Saccharomyces cerevisiae S288C: one gene and its partners. Changing the gene in region 3 together with the main gene of any one other region gives a genetic interaction. Each region holds a gene or a part of one and is shown on either strand. Other genes may lie near its edges.

Region 1 (4,290 bases), on a different chromosome or scaffold from region 3:
AGTCTGGAATCTATCGTTCAGTTGCAAAATCTTGTCTCTGATATGTAGGTATTTGGCCATACGGTCAGCCTGCTTGGATCCTTCTTGGTCTATGTTTGCCATTATCTGTATGAATTCATTGAACTGCAATCGCAACGGCAGAATTTCATCGCGTGCTTCGTTGATCTGCTTACACACTTTGTCCCTGGTTTCATTCTCGTTCTTAGCCAATATCACTTGTAAATCATCTAGCTTGACGCCTGCCGGTATAATCGAGTCCATTCCGGTTGTCTTTACTGCTGTTGTGTCCGTTTTGCGCTGCCTAATTGAAGAAGTCTTGGTGACTGTTTCTGTTGTTCTCTTTAAAATTTCGCTCGGCGCCATACCGAAAATCCTCAGGAAAGTGTTAGTGTTATATATTATATTATATTATATCATATTATATTAAGTTTATTGTATACATAATGGTCATACATCAATAGTGTACATCCTCTCTTCGCTTGTCTCGCAAAAAATGTTCATCAGAAACTACTCCAATTCCAGTTTGCAGGCACAGAGCCGATAACACTGCCCAAAACATCATTACCTTCTTCTTGTTCTCCCCCCGTATTCTCATTATCTGCTTCTTCGTCGTTCGACTTCACCTGGATGGGCGTTGTTGTGTCTCGATCAACCGTGGCATGCTCTTGGGACGAACCGCCCTTCTTTGGTCTGAAAAGAGCGTTCATCTGCCTATTCTTGTAGTAATTGCGTAATTTCTTCCTATTGTCATTATCGTCATCTTCGCCCTCCTCAACGTTTATGTTATCCTCGTTCGTGTTTGCGTTATGGTTCGTGGTTGAAAGGTTCTCGTACTCGACCAGACAGTCATCGCATATTTTACAGAGAGTGCCACCGCCATTTATGCCACCGTTGTTTAGTTCGTTGATCATTATAAAATTTGCCTGCGAGTCCAGGTACAGCCAATGGCGCAAATGGTCTTGACAAAAGATGTCCCCGCAATGCCTGCAATGATGTTTCCTTTCCCACAGGGTAAAAGGCTTATGGCAGTAACGACAAGAATTCCTCTTACTGTCCGGAATCCAGTGGTCCTTAGTGGGCGGGTTTACTCTGGCAGAGTTTCTGTTTGAAATAGTTGGTATTAAGTTGATTCTGTCGCTGTTCGGAATAGAATTCGGGAACAAGTACGAGGATATTTTGTTTTTGTAGCTTTCCAAGATTGACGATGTGTTGGATTGTACGCTGGATTGAGAAGATATGATCCGTAGGTTGTTCGCATTCTGAACGCTAGCGGATTGCGACTTGCTTGGATTAAAGCCATGTTCCAGGTTAGATGCCTTCTTGTAGTAAGACGACAATGTTGCATTCAACAGATCGTCATTAGTTATGTTTGTCTCTGAAACTTTCCTCAGCACGGCGGGGATGTATAGCGGTTTTTTAGGGTTACTGATCTGTCTTACATTTGATTTATGTTTATTGGAATTAAAATTCAGATTAGTGCTCGAAGCAGGCTGCGGTAAAAATTCCAGCGAGGGTTTCCTTAGCATCTGCTGATGCGGCGGTTTCGCCGCATGATTCACCGAATCAATAATGACGTTCGTGTTGCCAAACCGCAGTTGGGACATCGAGCTAGAATTCGTTGTAGTCAGCTTGTCGACAATATTTTCCACCTTCGACGTCGACGATGACGACACTGAAGACGTGGACGAAGATGAAGACTCTTTCGCCTTGTTTTCTTTACTCAACCTCAAATTAGAACTAGCATTCATTTTGAACGACGACAACTTGCGTAACGCCTGCGTGGTTAGATTCTTTTGTCGAACCTCGTCATCGTCATCGGCATCATCTTCTAACTCATTGAACACAGTTTTGCTCTTTGTATTCTTGCCCCTGCTAACATCCACCACGCTATTGGTGGGATCTAGTTCAGGGTTCGATCTTTGGTCATCCGTGAATGGCAACGTCTTGCCGATCTCCTTACTAGCAGAAGCCTTCCTACCATCTATCTGCCCTTCACCGAGCTTGCTACTGTGGCTGCTGCGAACATTCTCCTCAGCAGAGTTCTTCCTCAATATGGACACCATCGCCGGAGATTGGATCTGCTGCTTTCTGTCAACAAACCCAGTGCCTGCCCCTGTTGAGCTCTCTTGCTGCAACTGCTGCTGACGATGTTGATTTACCATCGATTTCAATGAGATGCTGCTCAAAATACTCTGTTCGGAATGCGTTGACGCCCTGGGCGCTATCTTCTTCTTTTCAAACGTGATGGGAGATGTCACGGTGTCAGCACCGCTTTCCTCATCACCTTTCCTGCCACGGTAGTCATGGTTCCTTGGTCCCAGGGGAACTCCTCTGCCGTCTCGCTCATCACCGTCCTCCTCCTCTTCCTTGATCGCGGGCGTTTTGGACACACTATGCAACGCAGTCATTCTGGTCTCCACTACAACTGTGCTGCCCAGTCCTCCTCACTGGCGCTTCGTACCTATTCCAGGTCTCAATAGTCATATCATAAGCTTTCTTTTACTTCTCTTCGCCTCTGCTAAATGGTCACCATCGACGGTTGCTTTTTCGCGCTGGTCGAGAATTGACAAAATAAGACACGAACAAAAGAGCAAGTCTGAAAGAAAGAAAAGCAGCAAAAGCACGGTCTAATTCAACGTGACATAGCATCCGCAATCGCATTCACAGCCGTAAATCCTAACTACCATTCGTCATTATCACAGCTGCCATGGGATCCGACCGGTCGTGTGTTTTGTCTGTGTTTCAGACCATCCTCAAGCTCGTCATCTTCGTGGCGATTTTTGGGGCTGCCATATCATCACGTTTGTTTGCAGTCATCAAATTTGAGTCTATTATCCATGAATTCGACCCCTGGTTCAATTATAGGGCTACCAAATATCTCGTCAACAATTCGTTTTACAAGTTTTTGAACTGGTTTGACGACCGTACCTGGTACCCCCTCGGAAGGGTTACTGGAGGGACTTTATATCCTGGTTTGATGACGACTAGTGCGTTCATCTGGCACGCCCTGCGCAACTGGTTGGGCTTGCCCATTGACATCAGAAACGTTTGTGTGCTATTTGCGCCACTATTTTCTGGGGTCACCGCCTGGGCGACTTACGAATTTACGAAAGAGATTAAAGATGCCAGCGCTGGGCTTTTGGCTGCTGGTTTTATAGCCATTGTCCCCGGTTATATATCTAGATCAGTGGCGGGGTCCTACGATAATGAGGCCATTGCCATTACACTATTAATGGTCACTTTCATGTTTTGGATTAAGGCCCAAAAGACTGGCTCTATCATGCACGCAACGTGTGCAGCTTTATTCTACTTCTACATGGTGTCGGCTTGGGGTGGATACGTGTTCATCACCAACTTGATCCCACTCCATGTCTTTTTGCTGATTTTGATGGGCAGATATTCGTCCAAACTGTATTCTGCCTACACCACTTGGTACGCTATTGGAACTGTTGCATCCATGCAGATCCCATTTGTCGGTTTCCTACCTATCAGGTCTAACGACCACATGGCCGCATTGGGTGTTTTCGGTTTGATTCAGATTGTCGCCTTCGGTGACTTCGTGAAGGGCCAAATCAGCACAGCTAAGTTTAAAGTCATCATGATGGTTTCTCTGTTTTTGATCTTGGTCCTTGGTGTGGTCGGACTTTCTGCCTTGACCTATATGGGGTTGATTGCCCCTTGGACTGGTAGATTTTATTCGTTATGGGATACCAACTACGCAAAGATCCACATTCCTATCATTGCCTCCGTTTCCGAACATCAACCCGTTTCGTGGCCCGCTTTCTTCTTTGATACCCACTTTTTGATCTGGCTATTCCCCGCCGGTGTATTCCTACTATTCCTCGACTTGAAAGACGAGCACGTTTTTGTCATCGCTTACTCCGTTCTGTGTTCGTACTTTGCCGGTGTTATGGTTAGATTGATGTTGACTTTGACACCAGTCATCTGTGTGTCCGCCGCCGTCGCATTGTCCAAGATATTTGACATCTACCTGGATTTCAAGACAAGTGACCGCAAATACGCCATCAAACCTGCGGCACTACTGGCCAAATTGATTGTTTCCGGATCATTCATCTTTTATTTGTATCTTTTCGTCTTCCATTCTACTTGGGTAACAAGAACTGCATACTCTTCTCCTTCTGTTGTTTTGCCATCACAAACCCCAGATGGTAAATTGGCGTTGATCGACGACTTCAGGGAAGCGTACTATTGGTTAAGAATGAACTCTGATGAGGACAGTAAGGTTGCAGCGTGGTGGGATTACGGTTACCAAATTGGTGGCATGGCAGA
Region 2 (4,700 bases), on a different chromosome or scaffold from region 3:
ATCTAACTGTCTATCTGACTAGGAATCAATTTGTAAAGTTCTAAAAAAAAATTTAAAGGCGGCTATTGAAAATGAAATACGTTGTTGTTTCTGGTGGTGTTATCTCAGGTATTGGTAAGGGTGTTTTAGCGTCCTCTACAGGGATGCTACTGAAAACCCTCGGCCTAAAGGTTACTTCCATCAAGATTGACCCATATATGAATATTGACGCCGGGACGATGTCTCCCTTGGAACATGGTGAGTGTTTTGTACTTGATGATGGTGGGGAAACGGACTTGGATCTCGGTAATTACGAGCGGTACCTCGGTATTACCTTAAGCAGGGACCACAACATCACCACCGGTAAGATATACTCCCACGTAATTTCCAGAGAAAGGAGAGGTGATTATTTAGGTAAGACAGTTCAAATTGTTCCTCATTTGACTAACGCAATTCAGGATTGGATTCAACGTGTTTCAAAAATTCCAGTGGATGACACAGGATTAGAACCAGACGTCTGTATCATCGAGTTAGGTGGTACGGTCGGTGACATTGAGAGTGCGCCCTTCGTGGAAGCATTACGACAATTTCAGTTCGAAGTTGGAAGAGAGAATTTCGCCCTGATCCATGTTTCACTTGTGCCCGTCATTCATGGTGAACAGAAGACGAAACCCACCCAAGCAGCAATCAAAGATTTAAGGTCATTAGGGCTTATTCCCGATATGATTGCCTGCAGATGCAGCGAAGAACTTAACAGGAGCACTATTGACAAGATTGCCATGTTTTGCCATGTGGGGCCGGAGCAAGTGGTCAACGTTCATGATGTTAACTCCACGTACCACGTTCCCTTATTGCTGCTAAAGCAACATATGATCGACTACCTCCATTCAAGGTTGAAATTAGGTGAAGTGCCTCTAACCTTGGAAGACAAGGAAAGAGGGTCTCAATTATTGACTAACTGGGAAAACATGACCAAAAACCTAGATGATTCTGATGATGTTGTCAAGATTGCTCTTGTGGGAAAATACACTAATTTGAAGGATTCCTACCTATCTGTGACCAAATCCTTAGAACACGCAAGCATGAAGTGCCGTCGTCAGCTAGAAATCCTCTGGGTAGAGGCAAGTAACCTAGAGCCCGAAACTCAAGAGGTGGACAAGAACAAGTTCCACGATTCATGGAATAAGCTCAGTTCCGCCGACGGAATTTTGGTTCCTGGTGGATTTGGCACGAGAGGTATTGAAGGTATGATTCTTGCTGCCAAATGGGCCCGTGAATCCGGTGTTCCCTTTCTTGGTGTCTGTCTTGGATTACAAGTTGCCGCTATCGAGTTCGCCCGCAATGTGATAGGCCGCCCAAACAGCAGTTCTACAGAATTTTTGGACGAGACACTACTAGCTCCTGAAGACCAAGTAGTCATATACATGCCCGAGATCGACAAGGAACACATGGGTGGCACGATGAGATTGGGTTTGAGGCCTACCATTTTCCAACCGAACTCAGAATGGAGCAACATAAGGAAGCTTTATGGTGAAGTTAATGAGGTGCATGAGAGACATCGTCATCGCTATGAGATAAACCCGAAAATAGTGAATGATATGGAGTCTCGTGGCTTTATTTTTGTTGGTAAGGACGAGACGGGCCAGCGTTGCGAAATATTCGAATTGAAAGGCCATCCATACTACGTGGGCACTCAATACCATCCAGAGTATACATCGAAGGTGCTGGAACCATCAAGACCGTTTTGGGGGCTTGTGGCCGCAGCCTCCGGCACACTTGGTGAAGTGATCAAGGACATAAATCTAAGCGAGGGAAATGAAAATGAATGAATTGATGCGCTTACTACTTACTTACATACGGTTTTTATTCAAGTATATTATCATTAACATTAGTTGGTTAGACCAATGACACCACAGGCTGGTCTTGGACCGGCATTACCAGTCTTCAAAGATTCTTCAGTGTCACCCTTACCTAAGTCATCTTGGCCGGCGTGGATAACGACGCTTCTGCCTACAACGGAGGTAGGACCGATAAGCTTGATCAAAGAGTCCTTGAAGGAGCCCTTGGCCACACCATTTTCGTCCGTCTTTACGTTACCCATGTCACCGACATGTCTGACTTCGTCAGTTGGAGCACCATGTGTCTTCTTGAAAGGATTGAAGTGAGGACCAGCAGAGACACAACCATTGGTGGCATCTCCAAACTCATGAATGTGGAACCCACGTTCTGCGTTAGGACTGTTACCAGCGATCTCGTAAGAGACAGTGGTTGGCTCGGATTCGGAAGCCTGTTCGAACTTGACAACACCAGAGACACCGGCATCACCCTTTAACACTGCGACTGCTTGAACCATTATAAATTAATTATGTTTTATTTGTTTGCGCGATTGCTTTCTTGCCTGTTTTTCCGCAACATAGTTACAGCTAAACATTTGCCCAAAACCATCTTCTTATATATATATCTGCGATGGCGAGCCCAGCGGAAGGGATGTCCGCTTACTAATTCCGACACACCGGTTTAACCCCCCGGCGTGCTGGGGTGGGTGCCCCTAAGGGAGCGGGTTCTGTACTTCCAGTAAGCGGCATTTGCGCTGTCATCGCCTTATCGAACCCGCTACTGAGATCATGTCCTGAGTGGGTGAGTCGCACGCCCAATCGGCTGCACTTCAGAGATACTTACGTCCAATTTCGCATCATGCCAATATTACCTGTGGAAGTTGAAACTTTTTTTGCAGATGCCGATAATTTTCACATGGATGAGTCGCAGTGTCGTCGTACGTGATGAGGGCAGGCTTGAAAATTATTCTTCGAGCCCAATTCTCTTTACTTATAGGCATGCCATGTCTAATTAGGTAGTCATCTCAGTTTATCTTGTGCAGGGTAGAACCAAAGATAACAGCAAAAGAAAGAGCAAGCAATTATGACCGCACCATTGGTAGTATTGGGTAACCCACTTTTAGATTTCCAAGCCGACGTCACGGCTGAATACCTGGCCAAGTATTCTCTAAAGGAAAACGACGCAATTTTGGTCGATGCCAAATCAGGCGATGCTAAGATGGCTATTTTTGACGAGCTCTTACAGATGCCAGAAACAAAGCTTGTTGCAGGTGGTGCTGCTCAAAACACTGCTAGAGGGGCAGCATACGTTTTGGGCGCCGGCCAGGTGGTGTACTTCGGTTCCGTCGGTAAGGACAAGTTCAGCGAGAGATTGCTTAACGAAAACGAAAAAGCTGGTGTCAAGTCTATGTACCAAGTTCAAAATGATATTGGTACCGGTAAGTGTGCCGCATTAATCACTGGCCATAACCGGTCCTTGGTCACTGACTTGGGTGCTGCCAATTTCTTTACTCCAGACCACTTGGACAAGCATTGGGACTTGGTCGAAGCAGCTAAGCTCTTCTACATCGGTGGTTTCCACTTGACCGTGTCTCCAGACGCTATCGTTAAGTTGGGCCAACATGCTAAAGAGAACAGCAAACCTTTCGTGTTGAACTTTAGTGCTCCTTTCATTCCTCATGTCTTCAAAGACGCATTGGCCAGAGTTTTGCCTTATGCTACCGTCATCATCGCTAACGAATCGGAGGCCGAAGCCTTTTGCGACGCCTTCCAATTAGACTGTGCCAACACTGATTTGGAAGCTATTGCTCAAAGAATTGTCAAGGACTCTCCAGTTGAAAAGACTGTCATCTTCACCCACGGTGTCGAACCAACAGTGGTCGTGTCCTCCAAGGGTACCAGCACATATCCAGTCAAACCTTTGGACTCTTCTAAGATCGTCGACACCAACGGTGCTGGTGACGCCTTCGCTGGTGGCTTTATGGCTGGGTTGACTAAAGGTGAAGATTTGGAAACCTCTATTGACATGGGTCAATGGCTAGCTGCTTTGTCTATTCAAGAAGTTGGTCCCTCTTACCCTTCCGAAAAAATATCTTACTCTAAATAGATTCTTCTTACAATATAATAGAAATAAAATATACTCTACGTGTTCCCTCTAGCTTTTCATTCGTAGACATGTTTACCGCTTGTTCTTAAACCAAATAAGCCACCGTTACCACAATAAGGAAAAGAGGCGCTATAAAGTACAGCTTCAAGAAAAAAGGACAAGCAGCGCTAAGAACAAAATACTCGTTCATCCTCTCCACATACGGCCGTACACAAGCAACAATAACACAATAATATGGACTGGGCAATCAATGTCGCCCATCCACGATTACTTTACAAGGATCCTAAACTTTCAGTAACGTTTATTGTGCCGAGCTTATTTCATATCATTATTGCTTTCGTGTTATTAGGAATATGTGCATCCGATTTTCTTTGCCCCAACGTGGCCCATATATCAGATCCCAACAGCCTTCGATCGAATGGTTCTTTAGTCTCAAAAACGGCGTCCCATGCATCTCATACTGGGGCATTAATGGCAGTTCTACTATCTTGGTGTAACTCTTCGCCTGACCTATTTTCCAACTTAATGAGCTGGGCAACCTCTACGAGAGAAACAAGGTCAACCTCAGTATCGCTATCAATTGGTGAGGTGCTTGGCGCTTGCGGCATTATCCTGTGCATTGTAGAGGGCTCCATTTTTATTATTATGTCAAGAACTCACATTGAAATCTCGCAAATTCAAAAACTATCCATCATGAGAGACTTGTTATTTTCTTTAGCTGCCATGTGCGTAATGAGTTACGTTTCCCTTATGAATCAGGTCACTGTGCTGAATTGCCT
Region 3 (7,111 bases):
ACAGTATACAACAGCTGTTGATATATGGGGTGTCGGATGCGTTTTCGCAGAATTTTTTGAGAAAAAACCTATTTTACAGGGAAAAACGGATATTGATCAGGGACATGTTATTTTCAAACTACTTGGTACACCGACAGAAGAAGATTGGGCCGTGGCTAGATATTTGCCAGGTGCTGAACTAACAACAACTAATTACAAGCCAACGTTGAGGGAAAGATTTGGTAAATATCTAAGTGAAACAGGTCTAGATTTTTTAGGACAGTTGTTAGCGTTAGATCCTTACAAGAGGTTGACCGCTATGTCTGCTAAACACCATCCTTGGTTTAAAGAGGACCCTTTACCATCAGAGAAGATAACATTACCGACGGAAGAAAGTCATGAAGCTGATATTAAGAGGTACAAGGAAGAAATGCACCAATCATTGTCCCAAAGAGTACCTACTGCGCCAAGAGGTCATATAGTTGAAAAGGGTGAATCACCTGTCGTGAAAAATCTTGGGGCGATCCCAAGAGGCCCCAAGAAAGATGACGCAAGTTTTTTGCCTCCATCAAAGAACGTATTGGCTAAGCCGCCTCCTTCGAAAATAAGAGAACTACATCAAAATCCTAGACCGTATCATGTGAACAGCGGATATGCTAAAACTGCGATTCCACCGCCAGCAGCCCCTGCAGGAGTTAATAGATACGGACCCAACAATAGTTCCAGAAATAATCGCTTCAGCGGCAACAGCACTGCACCCAACAACAGCAGGAATCCCGTAAATCGATTTCATCCTGAGACAAATGTCAGCTCTAAATATAATAAAGTACCTTTGCCATTGGGGCCTCAGTCAAGATACCAGGGTAATTCAAATGAGTCCCGGTACAAAAACTCGCCAAATGACTCTAGATATCATAACCCTAGGTACGTGAACAAGCCGGAAACCAACTTCAATAGGCAACCACAGAAATATAGTCGCCAAGAATCCAATGCGCCAATCAATAAAAATTATAATCCTTCAAACGGTTCTCGCAATATGGCTGGTGATCATCATCAAGGCTCGAGACCTTCTCATCCACAATTCCCAATCTCGCCCTCACAGGGGCAGCATCAGCTTACGAGTAAACCAATAGAGAAAAAAAATGGAAGCTTTAAGGATGAAAGAGCGAAACCAGATGAGTCTAAGGAGTTCCAAAATAGTGATATTGCAGATCTATATTAGGTTATACTATTCTCTCTTCCTTTCTGGCCTCGTGGCTAATTACGGAAAGTTGTATACTGACTACTATGTAATCTATCACGTTTTGTCACTGTCTCGCTCTTTTCAAACAATCCATAAAATCGAAACTATTGTCAAAACGTCAGTACATCCTACCTGATAGGGACTGTACCAATGTCAACGTTCGAGTAAGTGATAATAAGGACCGCCTTACCCACCTTCAGGACACTCGGTTTTACACAAGCGTTATCCTGCGCGGATTTTCAATATGAAAACAACTAAGTTTTCCTGTAACATCATATATACCATTTAAAAGAGTGCCAAAAAACCGATAACGATTATTTTAAAGGCGTTTTATATAAGAGAAGAAGTAAAGAGAAAAAAGCGCTTACTAGAAATGGGGAGAAGGGTGCCAAAGAGATAAAAAAAACTCCCAGCTAAGTCACTGGTTCAACGTTCCAAATGGTATCGGAGTATTCCTCGATACAACGATCACTGCTAAAGAAGCCGACGTTTGCAACGCTCAGGACACTCTTTTTTAACCATTCTGACCTTTGATTGTGGAACTCCTGGTCCACTAATTCATGGGTGGCCAGATAGGATTCAAAGTCATCACTGACCAGGTAATAATCGCCGTGGTACTTAATACTGTCGACTAAAGGTTTGAATTCATTTGGATTTTCTGGAGAAAATTGTCCACTTTCAATGTAGGATAAAACAGAATCCAAACTAGATGGTAAATCTTGTGGATGGTATTGATGGTTGTATCTCAATTCTTCGACATTTTCACTTAGGTTACCAAACAAGAAGACATTATCTTCACCAATTTCCCTTGTGATTTCCACATTGGCACCATCAACAGTACCAATAATCAAACCACCGTTCATAACAAACTTCATATTAGAAGTACCAGACGCTTCAGTACCAGCAGTAGAAATATGCTCACTCAAGTCACTTGCTGGAATAATGATTTCAGCCTTAGAAACATTATAATCAGCAACAAAGACAACCTTCAACAAATGCTCAATTGACTCGTCGTTATTAACAATGTCAGCAACACAGTTGATCAATTTTATGATCAGCTTAGCCATGTAGTAACCAGGAGCACTCTTACCACCAAAGATTGAAACCTTGCGTGGATATTTCTTGGCAACTTCTTCGATCGAAGCACCGTTCTTCAGCATATTCTTCATTGCCAGGTAACGGTATATAATACCAAAGACGTTTAGCTGTTGACGCTTATATTCATGAATACGTTTAACTTGCATATCAAACAAGGTGTCGTCCAAATACTCTCTGTTAATGATGTCTACTCCATCATTTTCCTTTTTGATTAAATCTACTAATCTGATCTTATTATTAAGCTTGACTTGGTTCCATTTTTTCAAAAACTCCTTATCTTCAACATATTTTCCCAACTGGGTCAGTTTGGCCATGTCCAACAAATACTCCTCTGTTGGATCGTTAAGGGTTTCACTGATCAGTTTAGCCAATGAAGGGTTAGCTTGCTTCAACCATCTCCTTGGTGTGATACCGTTAGTGACATTGACAAACTTTGATGGACCATAGAACTTGACAAAATCTTTAAATATGGTCGTTTTGATTAATTCAGAGTGCAATTCAGCAACACCATTAACCTTGTGTGAACCAACAATAGCCAAAAAGGCCATTCTGATCTGTCTTTCTGGAGAGTTTTCTTCGATGATGGATATACGAGACAAAAGATCAACATCCTTGGGGAATTTTTTGGCCACATCTTGCAAGAAGAACCAGTTGATATCATATATAATTTCCAAATGTCTGGGTAGCAAATGGCCAAAGAGGCCGACGGGCCATTTTTCCAGGGCCTCTTGCATAACAGTGTGGTTAGTATAAGCAAAAGTCTTGGTCACGATGTCCCAAGCCTCGTGCCAATCTAGTTTTTCTAGATCGACCAAAACTCTCTGTAATTCAACGATGGCTAAAGTTGGATGAGTATCATTCAACTGAATAGCCACTTGGTCAGGAAATTCAGTCCATGGCCTCTTGGATTTTTTGAATCTTCTTAAGATGTCGTGTAAGGATGCAGCACACCAGAAGTACTGCTGTTTCAACCTCAACTCCTTACCTTGAGCAAAGTTATCGTTTGGATACAACACAGCGGTTATAGACTCTGCGCGTTGTTGCTGAGCCACAGAGTTTTTATAGTCACCATTATTGAATTTTGCAAAATCAAATTCTGTTGTTGGCCTTGCTTGCCATAGTCTTAAGTTATTTACATTGGAAGTCTTGAAACCCGGAACTGGGAAATCATACGCGACAGCAAGAACTCTTTCCCCACCGATCCATTGTGACGCACTCAGTGTAGTTTTACCGCCTTCTGGTCTATCAACATAACCATAAAAGGTGACAGGAATTTGCACTTCGTTACGTTCAATTTCCCATGGATTACCAGAATTTAACCAGTAATCTGGAGTTTCCACCTGGTAACCGTCAATAATCTTTTGAGCAAAGATACCATACTCATAACGTAGACCATAACCCCAGGCAGGGATGCCTTCCGTTGCCATTGAGTCGACGAAGCAAGCTGCAAGACGACCTAGACCACCATTACCTAAACCTGCGTCCGGTTCTTGGTCCAAGACATCCTCTAACTTGAAACCTAAATCATCCAAAGCCCCTTTAATCATTTCTCTTGGTTTTCCCTTTGAGGCAGCAGGGTCTTCCGGATCTTCAATCTTCATATTAATCAGGGCATTATCCAAAGCCCTACCCATCAAAAACTCCAAAGACAAATAGTAAACTCTCTTTGGGTCTCTTGTGGTGAATTTCTGCTGAGTTTTGTTCCAGTCAATGACCAAATTGTCACGAATACTCATCGAAGCAGCTTCATAAGCAGCCATGTCATCACAATTATATAGGGAACGTGCTAATGTAGTTTCCACATGGTCAATGAATCTATCTTGAAAATCTTCTGCCTTGTTAAATTTTTTGACTTGATGCTTATTCCATAACGCTCTTGACTTTAAAGGAATCATCGTGTCAATTGACTTGATTTCTTGGGGAAGAAACCCCGTAAGTCTCCTTGTAAGCCTTGGGATTTGGTGTGGAGAAGTAGGTTCTTCGGTTATCATATCATTGGTAGTACTAGTACTAGCTGGCGGCATTGTTCAAAATTAAATTAAGTTGAAAGCTGCTTTACTGAAATTGTAATGTAGAGAAGTCAAAAAAGATCCAATTGTTTTTCTTTTGGATATTTTTAGTAATCGTTACCTTCTCAATCTGTGCTTACTTTATATTACAATAGCAAGCAGAAAAAACTTATAATACTTCGTACGTAATCAAAACAAAAGGTACAACAAGAAACGGGAAGGCACAAAGAATCTTGCTTTACTGCTATACAAACTTCATGCTCCTTTTATACATATAATATATTCGTCGGTGTTCCTTCCTTATCTTTGTAGCATGCACATGGTAGTTATTAACCTCCCCTGAAACTTTTTTAGCGAAAATTATCCACCCCTTACTTATTTCCTCGAGAGTCTCTAAAAAGTAAAAATACAATAACGGTAATTGGGGAAGGCGTTCCTTGTTAATTCAAAATGTTATCCTTGAAACATAGAAGGTGCTGGCTGCATCTCGCAGAGCTTCCTCTTCCGTTGAGCGTTGTATTCTTCCCCCCACAGTGCTACTAGGCGATGCCGCTACCCCTTGAAGGGCCTTCCCGCTGTGGGGCAGCGGCCTTTTTTCCTTAGTGGGAAACAAGCACCGGGGTATATTTCATTGTCTATCAGGAGAAGAGATCGTATACAAATGTTCGTGAGACGGTTTCATCTTGACTAGTTGCCTTGCTAGTCGGATAACTAGTGGAAAGCAGTAGGACACTCCCGATGAGTTTGCGTTTCCACGGGGTTTGACAGAGCTACCTATTGTCTTTTTCATCGAAGGAAACGGTAGTTGGACCTTGCCTTGGATAAGTTGGTGAATCATCCAGAGCTTTAGAAGGGAGCAAAAAATAAAATCTGCGCAAGCCCGGAATCGAACCGGGGGCCCAACGATGGCAACGTTGGATTTTACCACTAAACCACTTGCGCTTGTTATTTACATGAGTGTGGTACTTCTATTGATGGTAGGTGTTCCATTACTTTTTTCGTCTTAAGATGAGCGAGCAAACACAGGGAGAAAATAAAGCGCAATTATTTACCTCATAGGGTACACAATATCCGTGAGAAAAGGATGAATTTGAAATAATTATACAGACTCCTTTTTTTTCAACGTAAAATTATAAGCATAGATTAGAGGCGCTCCTGGATAATAATAGGAACACACACAAGTAAATCAGCAATTTCTCATATCGTACTTATTCGGTAGAGTTAATAATATTCTACTAAAATAACTACTGGTAAGTAGTGAGAGCTTGATTTTTGTACTAATAACTTGTTTCAAAAAAAAAAACGAATAATCAGTTTTACAAAAATGTGTATACCTATATAAACAATCTTAGAGGTAAAGTTCTCCCTCACTAAAAATAATAAAAAATTACGTGCAGATGAGAACCCCGTCTTACCTTAGTATACCTTTAGTTCCCTTTATGACCCGATTTGAACGATAAGTCTTTTATATTTTATTTCTTCCTAAAAGAAAAATGTATGCATTGTAAGTAACTTTTTATGACCATGGTAATAATTAAAGCCGAGGGCTTGTAGATTTACCATCAAAATACCCGCTTAAGAGGATAACTTGAACTTCGAGCTAGTACATTTACCAGTTAGGATATTCTTAGGGAACGTGTAACCAGCATCTTCCCAAGTAGTTAAGTTTGCATTCTGGAATGCATTTAAGTGCGATTGAATATAATCATATGTTGGATAGTCACTTGGATCGCATGTCACGGATATAGCATTACTTGGTTGGTATATTCTAACATAGTCAATCGACATAACCACTGGGAAGAAAATATACTGCCAATCAATATAAGCCCAATTGTTGGAAATACCCAGATTTAGAATAATCGACATTGGTTCTTTACTGATTCTTCTCCAACCAATATTACCATCAGGATGTAAGGCTTTAGCATGAATAGTATAAGTTGGAGTATCACCAACAAACCAACGGATATAACCATTGTCGTCATCGTTCAGATACTCAATGGCATATTTTTGAAAGTAGCCACCGTACTCACCGAATTCATACCAAGTTACGTTCAAAGTTGAGACAGCAGATACGGCTTGTTGAAATGGACCGCCAGCATAAGTGTTCATGGTCGTTGTTGTGAAATTGTAAACCTCGATAAAATCATAGTCAGGCATGTACCAGATATCAAAAGGTGCAATTTGCAAGGATTGAGAGGCTATACCTACACCAATCTTAGTATCAGTTTCACCTTCCAAAACATCAATTTCTGGAGCTCCTCTACCAACACCTTGATTCGGATGATCTTCACCATCACAAGTACAAATACTTAACTTTTGTCCCGGCAAGTAAGAAATACCATCCGGGGAACTTTGGTTGGGTGTAATACCAGCATCACACGATTCATAAGAATAAGGCCAGACACCTTGGGTACTAGCCAAATAACCGGGCCTCCCTAAATTACCCATAGTCCAAAGACCGGGCCACAAACCTGAAACACGGCCATAATTTGGTAGATTTGCAGAGATTTCTAGAGCACCCTGCGTGAAACAAACCTTATTCCAACTCTGCAACATACCTGATCTGTAATATAAGCCATGGTTCTTAAAGGCATCCATTCTCAGCTGCAAGGTTCCGTTCACAGTTGTGGAAGCGTCTGGACTGTACCATTCTAAATCCTTAGTAGCATCATAGTGAACATCAGGGGCTGTCCAGTATGGATCATCCCCATCATAAAATGTTCTGCCTTCTGCATTAAACTCATCAGAAAATACTAATTCCCACTTAGAGCCATCCATAGCT
Region 4 (3,140 bases), on a different chromosome or scaffold from region 3:
TAATCCCGTGATGTTTATGCAAGATAGCGAATTCATGTAGATCGCGCCATGCTGTCTTTGCTTTTGTTGGGACCATATTGATACTATATCTATGATTAGGATCTTTTCGTCCCCCGTAGTACAATTCACCAACTTTTGCAGCGCTACCGAAGGTTTAAAATCACTTTCAATGATGTGCAAGAACCCTAGTTTACTCTCCTGCTCTTCACTAATTAGGTTTCTTAATTCATTTGGTAGGTTTATATAGTTCTTGGTTGATGTGATGAAGTTTGACAAAGGATAAATTCTAATGTTCTTTAAAACTTCCATCCCATTCCATTCGCTACTTCCTTTCTCTTTTCCTAAGAATTTTCATTATTAGAAGGAGTAATGCTTACGGTACACATACATACACATATATATATATAAATATATATATATATAAGGACATATACAGATTTTTTTTTTTCGCGTACTAAAGTACAGAACAAAGAAAATAAGAAAAGAAGGCGATCATTGAACTACTGTGACTTGCCAATATGGTCTAAAAATTTGTCAATTTCACCTGAAGAACCCAACCAAATAGAAGATTTGTCATGGATATGACTTGGCACCAAATCCAAGATTCTCTCTCCGCGATCGTTGACCGCTTTTCCCCCTGCTTGTTCCATTAAGAAAGCCATTGGGAAGGCCTCATAAAGCAACCTCAGTTTTCCGTTGGGGCTCTTCTTGTCGCAAGGGTATGCGAAAAGGCCACCGTAAAGAAACGTCCTGTGAACATCAGCAACCATGGATCCAACATACCTAGCCGAGAAAGGCTTGTTGTTGTTGTCTGCTTGGGGTTGTTTGACTTTCTCAATAAATGTTCTTATAGTCTCGTTCCAGTAGAGGGTGTTACCTTCATTAATTGAGTAGATGGCCTTTTGAGGCGGAATTCTTAAGTTAGGATGAGTCAAGATGAATTCGCCCAAGTTTGTGTCTAAGGTAAACCCATCAACTCCATCACCCAATGTCAATACTAGATGCGTAGAGGATCCGTACATGGCATAGCAAGCGGCTACCATTTCTTTACCACATCTCAGTACGTCGTTTATAGTACCTGATGAGTCTGGTAGCAGTCTGAATATAGACGCGATAGTTCCAACGGAGACACCGGCGTCCAAATTTGAGGAGCCATCAATAGGATCACAACACACTGCGTATGAGCCCGTGTTTGTGGGAAAAACGATCAAGTCTTCCTGTTCTTCAGATACAAGGACCTTGATGATCCCACTAGCCCTCATGGCATTGATAAATATTTCATCACCTAGAACGTCCAACTTCTTTTGCTGGTCACCAGTGAAGTTGGAAGCGCCTGCTAACCCAACCAAGTTAACCAATTCAGCACGTCTGATGGTGTGAGATACAAATTTGAACGCGAATTGCAAGGCATTCAGTACTAATGTGAAATCACCAGTAGCGTTCTTAAATTGCTTCTGGTGCTCGATTATGAATCTAGGAAGAGTGATGATATCGGTATCAAACCCTTCGGTAGAGTCTCTTCTTGGTCCATTTACTAGAGTTGGCATATGTGTGGTAGTATGAGGGATGTTTCTTATATGTTCGCACTGTTATTCTTAGGCCTATCATACAAAAAGCAAGATCAAGACAAAATACACGTCTGTAATTGCACTACTTGTTGCTCCATATATATACGTACATTTGTTAGCGAGTGAAATGGATAATATTGCCTATACATAGGACGATCCTTATAATATAGTGTGGGGAAGATGCCACAAGTTGGCAAGCGACAGGAAGAAACCAAGCAAACCAAAAAAAAAGTAGTGGGTATTGGCCAGTTCGGCAATCTTCGCCTTCAAATTCCCTGTCTCAACTTTTTAAGCTTTCTTGATATGTGGGAATACCAGGCTATTGCTGCCTTGCGTTGGCTCTTACGCCCTTAACATTACCTAGCTTTACTACATAATGAGCTTTCGGGCCCGCATAACTCCGGGTGTCCGCACGACCGCGACTACTAAGAATAATAATAATACCCCGGAGGTGAATTCAAAAGCGGCGATTCCATCCGTCCGGAAAAGAGAGCAGAAGTTAGCCCGGGACCATGCAGTTTGATGGGTTGTCTATCTTAGACTGGAAAATTCGAAGAACTCATCCTTGTTAGCTCAGTTGGTAGAGCGTTCGGCTTTTAAGCGCATTTGCTTAAGCAAGGATACCGAAATGTCAGGGGTTCGAGCCCCCTATGAGGAGTTCTTTACTTTTTTTTTATCAACTTCCTTTGCTTCACGCCTATTATAAATTTAGATCGCGTATGATATTGTTAATCGGCGGTTAGAATTTATAAAAATCGACGATTTTCTAGGAATTATTTGCGCATACATATATATAGTTATTTAGCTCTATACAGGTGTAAGAAGGCGTTGATAAAACTATGGTAACAAAATAAAAAAATAGAGGGAGGGGTGTGGCTAAATGCGATTTTTTTTTTCTTTGGATATTATTTTCATTTTATATTCACATCAAATCAGAAAATCCTGGAACGAGGTTCTTAGTAAACCCACCTTCCTTGGCGGCAGCTTCGTAGTAGCCGTAGATGGTGGTAGTAGCCATCAAAATGGATGCCCCAGAACCTAAAGTACCTAGTAGGTCGGAGCCAACAGAAAGAGCACCGATGGTAGCACCGCCGAAAGCAGCAGCAGTTGGAATGATCTTCTTCAATTCTCTGTAAATGGAGGTTTCTCTCTTACCGTTAATGACCATGCCTTGATCTTTGAATTGTTTGGCAATGTCACGTGGGGAAGTGCCGGAGATTTCGATCCATGTCTTGGAAAATACTGCGCATGAACCAAGAACAAATGTGATGTAGACGATGGTCTTGATAGGGTCCAGAAGAGCTTCGGATAAAGACATTAATGGTTGGATGTAGTAGGCCAACCCGCTCAAGGCCATTTGAGGGCCCTGGGTGCCCGGCCTGATACCCCAAACACCGATCAAACGAATCAATGGATTGGTTGGGTATTTCTGGAAAAGGATTTGAGAGATCAAGAAAATGTTAGAAGTCAATGCACTCTGCAACATGATTGGGGTGTTGGAAGTATAAAAGAGTTTGATGGGGTAGATACCAATTTGACCTCTCACTTTGGTTGACCTGATGGGCAATTCGT

Evidence for each region.
Region 1: of GPH1 (region 3) and PIB2, extra expression of one is lethal in a mutant of the other (dosage lethality), as found in Saccharomyces cerevisiae (2 studies listed by BioGRID, with this or other methods).
Region 2: of GPH1 (region 3) and SOD1, extra expression of one rescues a mutant of the other (dosage rescue), as found in Saccharomyces cerevisiae (one study listed by BioGRID).
Region 4: mutations in GPH1 (region 3) and FBP1 together harm fitness more than expected from each alone (negative genetic interaction), as found in Saccharomyces cerevisiae (2 studies listed by BioGRID).

What each region holds. Positions count from the first base shown.
Region 1 is NC_001139.9:449,697-453,986, forward strand, and holds PIB2 (Pib2p), read right to left. Parts: upstream 2,409-4,290; coding exon 501-2,408; downstream 1-500. Other genes in the region: PGD1 (Pgd1p), read right to left, coding at 1-261; dolichyl-diphosphooligosaccharide--protein glycosyltransferase subunit STT3, read left to right, coding at 2,708-4,290. UniProt on the Saccharomyces cerevisiae protein: Functions as an intracellular glutamine sensor that directly activates the TORC1 signaling pathway, to promote cell growth when glutamine is available. May play a role in repressing NPR1 activity independently of TORC1 signaling.
Region 2 is NC_001142.9:620,683-625,382, forward strand, and holds SOD1 (superoxide dismutase SOD1), read right to left. Parts: upstream 2,333-4,700; coding exon 1,868-2,332; downstream 1-1,867. Other genes in the region: CTP synthase URA8, read left to right, coding at 72-1,808; ADO1 (adenosine kinase), read left to right, coding at 2,899-3,921; ECM27 (Ecm27p), read left to right, coding at 4,156-4,700. UniProt on the Saccharomyces cerevisiae protein: Destroys radicals which are normally produced within the cells and which are toxic to biological systems.
Region 3 is NC_001148.4:858,539-865,649, reverse strand, and holds GPH1 (glycogen phosphorylase), read right to left. Parts: upstream 4,345-7,111; coding exon 1,636-4,344; downstream 1-1,635. Other genes in the region: cyclin-dependent serine/threonine protein kinase SGV1, read left to right, coding at 1-1,201; YPR159C-A (uncharacterized protein), read left to right, coding at 5,235-5,336; beta-glucan synthesis-associated protein KRE6, read right to left, coding at 5,905-7,111. UniProt on the Saccharomyces cerevisiae protein: Phosphorylase is an important allosteric enzyme in carbohydrate metabolism. Enzymes from different sources differ in their regulatory mechanisms and in their natural substrates. However, all known phosphorylases share catalytic and structural properties.
Region 4 is NC_001144.5:873,246-876,385, forward strand, and holds FBP1 (fructose 1,6-bisphosphate 1-phosphatase), read right to left. Parts: upstream 1,548-3,140; coding exon 501-1,547; downstream 1-500. Other genes in the region: PSY3 (Psy3p), read right to left, coding at 1-309; translocon subunit SEC61, read right to left, coding at 2,491-3,140.